Lytechinus pictus: one gene and its partner. The protein of the gene in region 2 purifies or fractionates together with the protein of the main gene of each other region. This does not show direct contact. Links are inferred from orthologs where the notes say so. Each region holds a gene or a part of one and is shown on either strand. Other genes may lie near its edges. The genes, in order: cell division cycle protein 27 homolog and ubiquitin-conjugating enzyme E2 S-like.

Region 1 (7,311 bases), on a different chromosome or scaffold from region 2:
TGTGTTCAGTGTTGATTTTCAAATTTAAACAGCTACATGAACCATGCAATTACAAAACACAGATATAACAAGAAACAAAGGGTGTGTCCATTGCCCCCTATTGACTGTCCAAAGAATAAGATTCAGAGGAAAATTAAAAGCCGAAAAAGGTGTGTTTTGAAAAAAGATCAGCATTGCGATTGCAAAAAAATGCCACACTGAATCAATTGAGTTTTCAAACGTCTTTTTAAATGGGCTCTTACAGTGAAAGCTTACACATTATTTTGAAAAGTGTGCGCCAGAATTGACCTAACTTGTGACAAGTCAAACTGCGCCGTACGCTGCGCTGATGGAACAGGGGAATTTAGATAATCAACATAAATCAGCTTTAAATTTTTGACTGTGTATGGTGCACCGATGATCATGATAAAGTTCTGCGTTTTGAAAAATCAACATTCAACACATCCTAATTGACCTTCTTGTTCGCTGAATATGATACTCTAAAAATACATGCACTATAATTGTAATAAAAATATTCATACAATATTATTATTTTATAAGGGAATATTCCATCAGAAATTACCACTGTAAATTCTAATATGGTTTAAATGAATAAAACTGTCGTTAATAATTCATTTCATTATTGTTTTTATTGAAAGGTAGGTAGGTTTCAAACAAAAGGCATGCATGTATTAATCACTTTCCATTTCACACTCAATAATCAAACAAAGCTGTGAAAATATACTGGGACCCGATGAAAATGGTAACTTGTTATCAGTGACTTTTCAGCATATCACTGGTACAATTACCACAACAGGTGGTTTCAAGTTTGGCATTGGAAGCTGGGTTGGAACCCAGAAGCCCATAACACAAAGCTTAGTAATTAATCATACACTTGATGATTGCACATAATGATCAATGCAATAAATTGTGAAAATCAGCACTACCGGGGGGTAAAACCCTTGCTAAGCATTGTGCTACCAGGGGCCACATATTACCTGCATAATTTTCCTAGTACTGAGAGTGCATAGGGTGCTGATTCTTTAAATAATGATACGACATCATCACACGTATTGGGCTTCATTATTGGTGATCCTGATAATGCTGTTTCACAGTCTGATAGCCTTAAAAAAATTAAAGAAAAAAAAAATTAATAATGATAATAATAGAACAAGGTAAAAATAATTGCCTATATTACAATGAAGTATTACATGCATATTATAATCTTATTTACGTTTCCACAATTGGTAAAATATGTACTTCTGTGTTGTGCATAGTTACAGACAATATGATTGACCATAAAAAAAGGCATGTTCAGGAATGAATCAAAACGAATGACTTAAGTTGTAGAAAATTATGTGGAATAACAACATGAATGAGCAAATAAATCAAAATGAAACACACAAATCCTCATTATGCAAAAATTGACTTGGTATATAGTGTACTACACTGGTGATCGACAATAATGATATATAAAAAATAGGTAATCTGACAACCACTAATAATGTGTGAATTTCTGAATTCTTCTTACTCTCGCATAAATCTTTTCTAACTATAGTACCTAAATGTCATACTTAATACTCACTTCTCTAAATCCAGGCAGCACCTGGCCATAAGGAATCTGCAAGCTGGAGTCGGACAGCCTTTGGTCTGTAGCAAGGTATAGGCACTCATTGGCTGGCCTGACCGGTAATAACAGGTGGCAAGAAGGAATAGACCCTCATCTGACCCAACTAAAACAAAGAACATGTGATATATGGTCAGGGGGGAAAAAATGGGTCTACATGTTACACTTCAGAAATATCCATTTCTTCCGCCTGTATTACGTGATTCGAATTAGCAGCTGTGCTCACTTTAAAAACAGCTACTGAATAATTATTCACAAAAGAAAACACTCATATTATACACTGGTAAAAATAAGTTAAACAGCGCTGTTTACTATGTGAATCGCACAGTAGTTGTTTAAGCAGTTTAAACAAGTGTTTAAAATCTTAAACAACCATGCTTGAATTTTCAATAATTAAATTTGAATTTAAACTTTGTTGTTGAAGATTTTAAACACTTGTTTAAAATGTTTAAACAACTACTGTGCCATTCACATAGTAAACAGCGTTGTTTAAATCATTTTTAACAGTGTAATAAAATACTACATGTATGTCCATTTACCCAATATGACCTTTGACCACGATATGTGACCTGAGACGTGTGCAAAATAATCATTCATATTTGATTACCCTTACATGTATGTCTATGTTTCATGAACTACTTGTGTAGATCCATAAACTTTCTAAGTTATGATGCCAATTCAACAAATACCCCAAACACGGCCAAAGTTCATTGACCATAAATGACCTTTGATCTTGGTCATGTGACCTGAAACACGCACAGGATATTCAGGGATACATGGACACTCTTATGTCCAAGTTTCATGAACTAGATCTATAAACTTTTAAAGTTATGATGACAATTCCACAAGTACCCCCAACATTATAAAAATTTTGTTGACCCTATTAAATGACCTTTGACCTTGGCCATGTGACCTTAAACTCACACAGGATGTTCAGGGATACTTAATAATTGCTCTTACGTCTAAGTTTCATGAAATAGATCCATAAAATTTAAAAGTTATGACAATTCCACAAATACCCCCAACATGGTCAAAGTTTGTTGACCCTAAGTGACCTTTGACTTTGGTCATGTGACCTGAAACTCAGGCAGGATCTTCAGTGATACACACGACATTTCAAAAACTTAACCTTGGTTAAGATTTTGATATTGATTCCTCCAACATGGTCCAAGTACATTGACCCTGAATGACCTTTGACTTTGGTCATGTGACCTGAAACTCAAGCAGGATGTTCAGTACTTGATTACCCTTATGTCCAAGTTTCATGAACTAGGTCCATATAATTCTAAGTTATGATGAAATTTCAAAAACTTAACCTTGGTTAAGATTTCAATGTTGACGACGCTGCCGTCGGAAAAGCGGCGCCTATAGTCTCGCTCTGCTATGCAGGAGAGACAAAAATCAATGAAATAGGTACACACCGATAACCGATAATTTACCTGGGCCATTTTGCAACTTACTGAGTCTTTTTCAATTTTTTTTTTGTACATTTCAGGGGCTAAACTGCCCTTACATCTTGACAAACTGTATTTCAACACACATACCTTCAGCATAAAGTCTCTCTGCCAGAAAGGTAGCATCTTCGTAGGCATAATGGTTTAAGCACTGCCAGATGGCCGCCTGAAAAAGGAAAGAAACGTGAATAGGACATGAAAATTGTGAAATTAAGATGTGCTGCATGCGAGAGTCACTGACTTGCACTGCACCGCGCATAATGAATGTATGCAACCAATAAGTTGCAGTGACCATTCGCTCCCGTATATGCCAGGGGAAGGGGGAGATCCCCTTACCTTTTCAGAGAGGGAAGGATGGCCTGTACAATCACCCATCCCCCCCCCCTTCAAGACAGCATGAATGTAATACATGAATTTATAAATAAGCACTGCCAAAGTGCATAAATGGCCTATATTCATTGTAATTCATATCATGGCATCTTTGTGGAAGTGGAGGGCAATTTGTTCAAAGTGCAAACATACGCCTAGTCACCTACCCCACTTTTCAAGGTAGATTACATGTACATTGTAAAATTAGTTATTGATGACATTGACCAAATTAATGCCACTATTAAAACATTAAAGGACAGCAAAATTTCCCATATCTTTATAAATTTTTACATCTATTAATTGACAAACAATTTAAAAGATAATGCAAAGGCATTTGATATTTTGTCCAGAATTTTAAAAGCTGCATCATCTCTGAATATGATTTTAATCATTCAAAATCTGTATTTTCTGCAATCTTTTCCTTTTCATTTGCATCATTGTGCTTATTCCACTTTTTTGGAATTTTTTATTGCGGTCTGTGATGGCCTGTCACAAGGCAACTTTATTCCTGATAATCAGGATCCCATCTTATTATCCTTCTCTAAGTTCTCTTCTCACCTCTAACCAGTGAGTAAATTGAGTTTTTGATGAAAAATATTGTTCTGTTTAATCCTGATTTGTTTGTTCTTTATATTTCTTTTTACATAACATGAGATATAACAAAACATTAAAAAATGCCTATAATTTGCAATGACACTGCAGTGAATATTGTCTGTGTATGCATGTAAAATAGATTACATGTATCTACCATTTGCACCCTTTCTCATCAAATCCCTGAATCGTGTGTAAAGTGAATGGGTGTTCAGACATGGGGTACCGTTTTTTTTTCAATCTGAAAATGACTGCCCGAGGTTTTTCCAAGAAAATCCTATATTTCTTTCAAATTCTTATGAGATATTTGGTACACTTACTCATAATATAACAAACATTATTAACTGAAAGATTTTGTGAAAGAAAAAGAAATTCATATATCTTCACTCATTATTAGATGCGCAGACTTAAGGACCACCATCTTACCACTAAAAAGTTAGATCTAGACTACTGAATTCATATTTTTTGTGCAATCCAAAGTCAAGACAAAAAAGAAGGCAAAATTTTAAAGTGTCCGGACACTGGACCTCCCATGCTACTGTATGCTTCTCAGAATCAAATTATTCAGAATACCAATTTCGGAAAGAGTTCTTGCGACAGCCACCCAAAATAACAAAAGGTTGTCGAGACTTCCGGTTCATTCACTTCCTGTTTCTCTCACGTTAGATCTATCTTTTTATTTTTAGTGTTTCTTAACTCAAGTCGTTGCAACTGCAGTCAAGATTCTTCCCGCTATGCTAGGGAGAAGCGCTGATAGCGGAAGGGGTTTTCTAGCGACCATAAGCCGATACTTCGACTAGTCTAGGCTTTCAGACCCTTTATGGTGGTGTGACCTTAAAGGTAAATTGTGACATTGGTTTATTTCAAAACTTTCTTTTAGATTTCACTCTTCGCTTTTCAAAATACTCATAAACAAGTTCTGAGTCCATAAAATGTATTGCATTGGCCAAAAGAACTGTTTTTATTCTCAAAAAAATATATAAAGAAGAGAAATTTTGCCAAGTGAGCTTTCTTTTGATGCAGATTTTGAAATTGATATAAAAAATGAAGAGCGCCACCTTGAGACCAAATGACATCAATACCTGCTCATGAATATTCATATCCATCGCCTCTGCGCTTGTCTCACGTGCCGATCTGTATACCGGCTATACAGTACAGTATCGGATTGAACGGCGGAGTCTGTTTGCGACTTTTTCATTCATATCCTGTAGGAGCGTGTGCATTCGCGCAGTCCCTCGACGGCAATTTAAATAACTTGGAAACAACCAAGGAACTTTTTTAAATGACCATCATAATAATTGTGATGTTATGCACGTTGTTTTTCAAATCGCGGAGAATAGGTCCTAGACGTACATCTTGATATCTGGGCAGAGTACCAGGTACCGAGAGACGGCTTCCTTCCCTTTCCTTGCTTTTCATCTTTGCTTCGTTTCTCTAGCTGTATTTTTTTTTCTTTACTTGTCCAGGGTATGAAGGGAGGGAGAATTATGGTTGCTTGTGAAAGGGCTATTCTTATTTTTTTCCCCGTTTTTTATTTCTATTTTATAATTATATTTACATACGCATTTTTGTTTCGATTCCGATTCACTGAATCGTTATCAATTTCTTCAGGTTCTGTATTTTGATTTGTTCATTATTATAACGTGTTGTAACATTTTTTTTTAAAGGAAAAGGAAATCATTTTGTATTGAACTAGCTTTGCCGCCATTCTTCATTATTTTGCTTTGTGCGTTATATAGGCCTATAAGATGCTCTTTCTCTTCCAGTGATTATTTGTCAATATACTGCCTCAATGTATTTATCACAAAAAAATGACAAATACCGCGTGGCCTATGCCTTTTTTTTTAAACAATATATTCTGGGGCGGATCCAGCTTTCACTAATAACGGGGCCGGGGTGAACAATATTTTCATCCACATTTTTCCCGATCGATCGGCAGCTCAAAGCTAGTTTTTGTTGGAATCTATAGTCGTAACAGTACTAAACCCTATAAAAAATGCGAGCGTGAGGTATTATTTTCGGACTGTGTATATTGTGTCCTGAAAATTGATCTGAGCAATATGATCATTAAACAATTAAGATGCACACTGACGGATAAGGTGCTCAAAAATTTGAATAAGTAAAGGCCTATTTAGTTCCCTTGTTCGTTTTACTATAAGCCCTTCAACAATGTTTCCGTGTTTTGTATTACATTGATCAGTTAATATTTCTTTATGTCTCATACTATTTCGATATGAATTATACCTTGTCATTGTACTTGTTACTATGATTTTATATACTAATAACTCTGAACTTGTGAACCTGTTTAACCATGACTGAATGAATAAATCAATAAATGAATTGGTATAGATGAATATATGTTCCATCGAACAGGCAATGCGAACACAAAGCGCGGGCTAAATTGTTTTTATACTTGTGTAGTGACATGATTGGCTCCCACCCCTCCCCAAGTCTGAATTCCCCTCACCTTTTTTTATTCATTCTTCCTCTTATATTTTGTCACCCCCCCCCCCCCTCTGCTTTCGTTCATATTACTTTGCGCCGCCAATATCGGGGGGGGGGGGGGGGGCGTAACGTCGGCCTCCTGGATCCGCCTATGATACCGGTGCGTAGGTCTGTATGTTATAACCATGTAACATCGATCCCCCTCCAAGTTTCTCTTTGCATTTTTCTTTTCAACTTGTTATGGTAGTATACTGAACAAGAACAAGTATGACGTCTCCTAGGTGCCTCTCCCTCCACCCACTCCTCCTCGGTCGGCTGCATGTGCTCGGATAATAAAATTACGTACTTATCATGGTGATATATATATAATAAAATTGCAAATTTTATTGCAAAAACTGCATTACTCGTGAATTTGTGTTTCGCATTTCTGATGTCTTATTAAATATATATATATATATTCGAGGACATACAGCTAGGCGGAACTATTTGGGGGAAGGGGTCTTCCATCTCTGTGTGATTCCGAAGTTCCGATGATGGTTCAGAGAATGTACTTCATGCAAAATCACGTTTTGGCATGACCTCTCAGCGCTGGGCATATCGACGGACAAAAAAATGCAAAAATGTGATGGATCGAAATGGTAAAAAATATATATTTTAAAGAAAACCATCGTTATAAAATGCAGTCATACCAACATATTTTTGTTAATACCAGTTTGAACTTAGATAAAAATTATAACCCGAGGCTATATTAGCAGCAGGGGCGGCGGAACCGGGGGGCGGCAGGGGCACTTAACCCCCTATACATAAAAAAATCCCAGTAGGAAAAAATGCCTTTTTTAAATGGAG
Region 2 (7,974 bases):
CACCATCAAACAACAAAATCAATCCACTAAAAGGCATTGGTTAACATTGTTTTGACTTCTAGAACATCTAAGCTGCAAATTGCCATTTGTAAATAACATGTGTCTATGGTATGTTGTAAGAATGAAGCCCTGAATAAAAATACACCCTAAAATCATTATTTAGTGCTTAACAAATGTGAAAAATAAAGTGATCACGAACGCTATCTATATTCCAATTTTATTCCATATTCTAGTATTACATTAACCTCCCCCAAAAGATTAATTGAATAATGATTTTTCAGTCACAGATATCTTGTGTCTGCAGGAATTCGATCGTTTTTATTTCTTCATTGCTGTTTTTTAAAATCCATATGAACAATATTAAAAACAAAACATATCATAAGCCATTCGATGCCCTTTCGAGAGGCATGGATGCTCCACATATTGGCCGTGGACATATCTTGTGACCGTTTCCATTTCCCCATTTGCAATTTATAGAAAAGTGCCCAATAGAAGTGTGGCCTTGCCCAACCCTTAAAAAAAAAAATCCCCTAGAAAGGAATTGAACTTTAATGCTTGTATGTGAACTGATAAAGAAGGGGAAAGGAGAAAGAGGGGGGGGGGGGGGGGTGAGGAAAATTAAATTAGAATACTATAGCTTACATGGTCCTTCAATAACAGCATGAATGTCAGTGATGTCTTCATCACTAGGAAACACCTTGATGCCTTCAGGCGGAGACAACTTCAGATCTGCAATCTCCTTCACTATCTGTCGGATTACATGGGGAGAGAAATTTTCCACGTTGGATAAGGTCTGTGAGGAGAAAGAGAAGAAAAGAATGCACAGGCTTATATAAAGTTAAATATGCAGTGACAGTATCTGCTTGAATTTTTGAATGGGGGGGGGGGGGGTAAGTTCCGGCAACAGATTCTAGGAATATTATTCAATCCAAATAACACATACATACATTTGAACTTTCTTTTAAACTGATTTAAGGCCCATTCTCTCTGTATTAATTTAAATTGTATTAAAGGCCCTCTATAAACATTCTAACACATTTAAAAAAAATAAAAATCAAGTGATCAATATTAAGTAGTGACTACAATAAGCCTAAAAACATCACTTTGATTAAAATTCTAGGAGATCTAGTGTTATACCAAAAATGAATTAAAAATAGCATTTTTTTTTGGGGGGGCTCCATTATTATTTGAGGCAGTTTAATAGACCTGCTTATTCATCTTTAATCATCCTCCTACTATATCTATGCCTTTTCTATTAAAACGAGACCCTACTCAAAAGAACTAGACTCTAGTCTTGATCTTTTTCTCACTCTCATCACTTTCCTTCATTCTTTCTTCGTTTAAATTTAGGCTAACCTCATAGAGTATAAGCCTACATTCATCCAATTTTTCTTTCTGTTTTCTCCTTTACTCTTTAGAAATAAGTTCATCTGTTGATCTCTTTTTCTCTTCTCTTGTCCTCCCCTTCATAATTTCACCCAAGTCCTACTCATTCTCCTCCTCTGCTCTCATCTAAGTTATATTATTAAGTTCTTCTCCTCCTAGACCAGTCTCTGTTATGTTGGCTGTTCCGCTGAACTCCGTTGGCTCCACTCAGGCACTCACCAAATACAGACACCAAAGTTCTAGCCCGATCTATACAGGGACTCAATGGCCATATGTTTATGTATTAATGTCAGATAAAACAGGGAAGTGAAGTTGCACGACAGCCGAAGTAAGTCACTGTTTTTTCCCCTTTTAAGTTTATTTTTCCTGTTTTGGTGCATTTCTTGTCAGGCCAAAACAGAATAATATTCTTTATTTTGGTACAGTTATTTTTATATATTTTTATGAAATAAAGACAAAAATCAATGAGCCACGTCGGGGGGATTTTGCATTGTTAACCCCCTAATGGTGGCTGCACGATAGCGAGCCGTCTGTGTACGAGGAGAAATAAAAATAAAAAAATGTTTAAAAAACTCCTCGAAACAGACGGCTGCCAGCTGTCTATTCTCCTCCTCGGCACGCTCGGCCGGCCTCCCCCTCCTGGTCTTCTTCTTCTTTCATCTCATGTTGTTCTTCCCCCGATATTTGAGGATCAGCGGCTATCCGCAGGTTGGTTAAACTTGGCATGCTTGACTTCTTTTATAAATTATTATTGAATATGATGAAATTTCTTCATTTTCTTTTTCATTTCTCATCCATAATAATAAATTCATTCATGTTCTTCCTCTTTTTCTTAGTTTAAATTCTGGTAAACTGACATACCAACTTAGCTTTCATATAACTTTAGATTTGGCCTATAATTTTCAATTAATAGGGGGCGTATTGTTGTTCAAGTCCTGAATTCAATGATGAAAGTCACACAATTGAATTACATACACAACACTTGTATTGGCAATGCGTGTAAAATGTTAACCGTATTTTGACAATCGCCGGTTTTCAAGTCATCTCAACTAAAATCATGTTCTACATTCCTACTCATTTTCTAAATTGTATAATCACGTAAAAATTATACTGAAAAATATAAGCATCTTATCTTACCCCAGAAAGTGACATACTGAAGATTGGTTTCCAAAATCCGTCAAAAACCAGTGTATTTGCCCAGGATAAAATTGGTGATCGTTGCAAATACGAAAAACAACAGCAGCTGGGTCATAGCAGGTCATCGCTATTACGAATGGACCAATCCAGGCGCAGCTTTCAGTGCAGATTGATTCACACTTCCGGGTTACTGTAGCAGAAGACATTTGAAGCCACATTTACCATGGAATTGAGTGGATAAATTGTCTTTTATTATCCAGTTGGTGGAGTTATATGTACACAATGCATACATAACGGTAGATATACATGTATATGAGAAGTATTTGGAATAATATTGACGGATTTATTCATTCGCTCTGTTTCCTGGATATTTACATGGCTTTTTACTAAAAATTGGATTGTACACAAAGTGATGTCATCGACAAAAGTGGGATCGGTGATTAATCCGGGCATCTGACATGGCGGCCGTGTATTGCTAAGCAGAAACTGCACAGCACAAATGAGGAAGGGTAAGTTTCGGTCGTGTTTTTTGCCGATTCTCATGTAGTTCAATTTGTAATTTCACTTGTGCCTACTTTTTGGTCAAACATGTTGTATTCTTACCCCAAAAACCTGAGTTATTCTTGTAAAATATGGAAAAGAAAACTTACTTGCAGATGATGGAGCTGATCATTGCCTTGGCGCTGGCCTCGACGCGACGTAGGCCGATCAGCTCAGCTCAGCCAAAGTTCAGCCCTGCGAGCGCAGGCAACAACAGGCAGCAACACAGTGCCAGTCATCGCGGCCCCGTCCTTGCCCGTCCCTCTTTCTGCCTGGGACTGGTCCTGGCTCTGGTCCTGGCCCACTCACACAAGCATGCGAGGCCTGGCTGCAGCTATGAGTCTGACATGGCCCATGGTCGTCCTACTCCCAGTTACATTTAATTTACACAAGTGTCGGGGGGGGGGGCTGTTTGTGGCATAAACTTCTTTTTCATTTTGTAATGACTGAGTGTTACTTACTAAATTACTGTTGACGTTGTGCCAATTGGTGATTAAGTTAGATCTAACTGTTAGTACTTCATCGAGTGTTAGATCTATAGTGCATAAGAAAAGTTTACCATCTTTATGAAAATCGCTCTTATTTATGAACAGCTTTATGTTATGATTAAACTCCCACAAGAATCGTCTGATTTTGGTGTAGACCTATTGCAAAATTGTCATTAATGACATTAGGTGTGTGACTTTCTGTGCATGTGTAAAATTGAGTGATGTCATATATTTTTTAAAACTAAAGTAAAATTCTAGATCTAACATAGATCTTTAAAAAAAAAAAATTTAGGGAGCTGCTTTGAGTGCCATTTTTCACTTTACCAGAGCCATACTTTTTTCTCAGGATTTGGTACATGGTTTTGCATAGCAGTTTGTCTTGCTTGTTTACAAATTCATATTAATGTTTAACATTAGGCCCTATTTAACATGTCATTGTTTATTATTCAATTGCCTTTATTGTTTCTTCATTGTTATCAGTTGTTAATTGTTCAATGAACAGTAAACAATTGGTAACAATGAAGAAAAAGTAAGTGTTCATTTGATGTTGTTGTTTGTATCTCATGATGTATGAAACTTATGAAAAGGAGAGATGAAATTTATCAAATTTGAACAGAATGGGTACTTTCAGGATTTTTTTCCAATTTTTTGATAAAAACTCAGTTGAATACAAATTTTTGAAAAATTCAATCATTTCATTGTATTGCCGCCTGATAGCTAGTTTTAAAGTATAAAAATTGCCCAAAATTGAACATGTCAACTTATTTCACATGCCGTGCCAGCAGAGTCGATCACTGCAACACCACCAAACACATATAGGCAGTATCACTCACAAAAAATCCCCACTGAAAGCGAAAAATTAAAAAAAAATTGCCCTAAAATTGCGGTGTCCACACCATACATGTATTTCCAGAGCATGCGGTGGATATTAGTTCAGATTTAAGAAGCGGGTGCAGAAAAATGCTCTAAAAATCAGGAAATCTGTGGTTTTGTTCTTGAACTTCCTTTTTTCACAAATTTAGGATCATAGCTTCAAAATTACAAATAAAAAACAAACCACAAAAAAATAAACCGCATTGATTTTTCACAGAAACTTTTCTGTACATTGAAGTTCCGCGCAGCGTTTTGAAGAATATGCTTGATATTCCATTTAAAGATTTATCAACCAAGTAGTTTAGTCATGTTTGTTCATTGAATGAGTGGGTATTTAGCAAGGGGTCAGATGATGGCCAGTTATTTCAAAGAGGACAATGTAATGGTTAAACCACTAGCTCACTGCAACCAACCTGCCTGTGGGGAATCTACAGGTAGGACTATTGTGACCAAAAATACTAATTTCCATACAGTTGCAATTTATTTTTCATTAGCAACTTGGGAATAATTTGTGTATTCACCAGAGTGCTCAAAAACTTGAATTTGAAGCATATTTTTGTGTACGCCCTCTATTGGTGGAAATTGATATGGCAAGACAATTTTCATTTTTCAATCTCTATTTTTGATTAAGAAAAAAATAATTTAAAGAATCAAATTTACTTAAGAGCCAAATTGTATGATGAATAGGTGTTATGGAAACTGTCTGTGTTAAAAAATCAAGCATTTGTCCCAAAGAAAAAGAGAAAATAAGCCAAACATTGCCACCCTTATTTAGCCACACATGGAGATTTAACAGAGAACAAGGTTATATCATAACCTTGTTTATTGAATGAGTGGGTTAAACTTTTAAAATTTGTAAATTAATGTAACCTATGAAAGTCTTGTCTTCTGGTCTCTAGGTGCAGTGGCTTCTTTATTAAAATACAATGTCCTAGATTAAGCTTTTAGAAGTTCTTTTTAAAAATCAAACAATTCATTGAGTTGATCTACATGTATCCAATTGAAAATAAGAAATTCCTTTTGTGAAGAGTTGGTCCAGAGCAAATGGCTTATTAGGACACTCCCACCATCCAGGGGCCCTCGTGGCACTAGGGGCTCGTTGCAGTTACATGAATAGTTGTGATCAAACACAACTCCAGAAAACAATTGTAATTTGATTTTCAACCAATGATACATATGTTAATAGGGACTTGCATATGAATTTTGAGATGTGCTTATTAAAGCGAAGCTCTTCATGCCATAGGCATAGACAAAAATCACATGGTAGCTGGGGACGATTTAACCCCAGAATTGCTCAATAAGCCCTGGAATCAACATTGTAAAAAAAAAATTAAAAAGCCCTGGAAATCCCCATTCATTGCAAAGTTAAAGCTTTTCCAATGTTGCAGATGTAGACAGTAAGTTGTGAAAAGTACCCCCCCCCCCCAAAAAAAAAAAAGTGCCTGGCAAAAAGTGGCAATGGGCCCCAGCTGACTAACCCCCAAATTGTTACACCTTTAAAACAAGTGTCTGGCTAAAAGAAAAAGTGAAAGTTTACTCTAATGTTTTAATCAATGTACTCTGTTCTCATGAATCGAGCTGTGTTACATGTACAAGACTGTTGGAGGAACTTCCGCAGATAAATGTACCATACAGTATAAGTAAACTATGTACACAATAATATTGTCAGATGATGCTTTAAGTGGTTAAGAAAGCAAACAAACCTGTGTATTATTACTTTCACTATTAAAAAGATTCAAGTTACAAACATTCTGATGCTTTAATGTGTTGCTACTCTTCTGTGAGTTACAAAACAGCTTGAAAAGTTTGAAGGGGCACAATTTTAGCACATGAAAGGGATGCATTTACACCCCGCATCCTATTTTGACATTTGTAAAGAGGGGTGTTACTGTGTATACAATGATCACAAAAGGAAATTCGCCTTCAAATACTTCTTTTTTGTTCTTTACTCAGAGATTGGATCTAGGTGTTGTCATCGGGGGAAGGGGGGTGGGGGCATCATGGCTTACTGGTTACGACTCGACTTTCAATCAGTGAGACGTGGGTTCGATTAGTGTGTTTTCCTTCAGAAAGAAATTCACCCACATTGTGCTGCACTCAGCCCAGGTGAGGTGAATGTATACCTGGCATAATTAATTCCTTGAATGCACAAAGCGCCTTTAGCAGCTGGAGCTAAAGTCGGGGTAATTTATAGTGCGCCATTGAATAGACAAAGTAGATCAATCGGTGCCTCATATTATTATTATCTAAATTTTATTAGATTTATGAATGAATTATATTCGAGTTGAGTATTGTTTTAAGAAAAATTATTCATGTTTTGTTTATTTTCTTTTGATGAAATAAAAAACATTTGAAATATAGGCCATAGATACATACATGTTATATTATGTTGCGTACATGTGTGTAGTTCTTGCATACTTCTGGGTTTTTTTTTTATTGACAATTGTCCTAAGTCACGGCTCTGAAATTTAAAAGTTACACGTACTAGCGGTGCAAAAGTCCAACATTGACCATATTTTTATCTAATTCAAAATACAAGTTGCAAGAAACAAATTACAAATGGTGTTATGGTGCTACGTAAAAAAAATTATGATAATTTCTAATTTTATTGATTAAACTACTATAGGATTATCGTAGGTTCAAATATGGTAAATTCTCACCATATTTTGCCTATTACCCAATTCTCAAGAAAAACTCCTATTTACTTGGTAATCCAGATAATTTTTTACTGGTCAGTGGTGCATTTTGCATGAATTGCAATCACGGCTGACCAGTGCTCTACCTGCCAAATCTTAAGATGGGTGGTGAGAGCACTGACTTGTTCCACAGTGCAGAGGGTCCTGGTCCTAAGTCAGTATTAAGTAGTTTGTAATATCAGGGGTAGCATCCATACTACAACTTTTCTATAAAGTATGTCTTTTATAATTCGAAAATCATGTAGGATATGGACAGCAGGGCCCCGTCTCACAAAGAGTTACGACTGATCCAATCAATGGTAACTCTATGGAAATCCATCAGTGTCATAATTTTTTTCAACAGGAAATTTGCAAAATGTCCTTTGCAAACAAAGGAGAACACACCAAATTGTCAAGAAGTCAATGAATTTATGATTATTCATCATATCTAGCAGAAATTTTTGAACAAACATGCATTTTATATATTGACTTTGCTAGCTTTCTATACTTGCGATTGATCGTATCAATCGCAACTTTTTGTAAAACGGGCCCCAGATGCTGTTGATTGTTGAAAGGTAATTTGCCACTTGGTCTACACTGACTTTGTCTACTTTGTATCCTGAACAATATCATTTTTTTTATCCATTGATGATCATATGAAAACATGATGAACACTTTAAATCTTTGATTTTAAAGATTTTGTCTCAAAATAAATTGACTCACTATGACACTGTCACTACTTGGCTCTTATAAGAACTTACAGTGATTAGAACAACAGTTTAATAGGGCCTCAAAGTAACCCAAGGCCACCCATGGCCTCCAATATCCTCAGAATGGCCTTGACGCCCTTCCAAATATTTGTAGACACTAAAGGC

What was found.
Region 1: the proteins of ubiquitin-conjugating enzyme E2 S-like (region 2) and cell division cycle protein 27 homolog purify together in Homo sapiens (affinity purification with western blotting; 4 studies listed by BioGRID, with this or other methods). This does not show direct contact. The link is inferred for Lytechinus pictus from reciprocal best matches to the Homo sapiens genes UBE2S and CDC27.

The regions. Positions count from the first base shown.
Region 1 is NC_087245.1:15,602,239-15,609,549, forward strand, and holds the start of cell division cycle protein 27 homolog, read right to left. Parts: upstream 3,227-7,311; 5' UTR 3,151-3,226; intron 1,713-3,150; 5' UTR 1,654-1,712; coding exon 1,565-1,653; intron 1,104-1,564; coding exon 978-1,103; intron 1-977. UniProt on the Homo sapiens protein: Component of the anaphase promoting complex/cyclosome (APC/C), a cell cycle-regulated E3 ubiquitin ligase that controls progression through mitosis and the G1 phase of the cell cycle.
Region 2 is NC_087254.1:11,969,172-11,977,145, forward strand, and holds the start of ubiquitin-conjugating enzyme E2 S-like, read right to left. Parts: upstream 3,225-7,974; 5' UTR 3,174-3,224; intron 2,955-3,173; exon of another isoform or gene 2,714-2,954; 5' UTR 2,539-2,713; coding exon 2,524-2,538; intron 794-2,523; coding exon 643-793; intron 1-642. UniProt on the Homo sapiens protein: Accepts ubiquitin from the E1 complex and catalyzes its covalent attachment to other proteins. Catalyzes 'Lys-11'-linked polyubiquitination.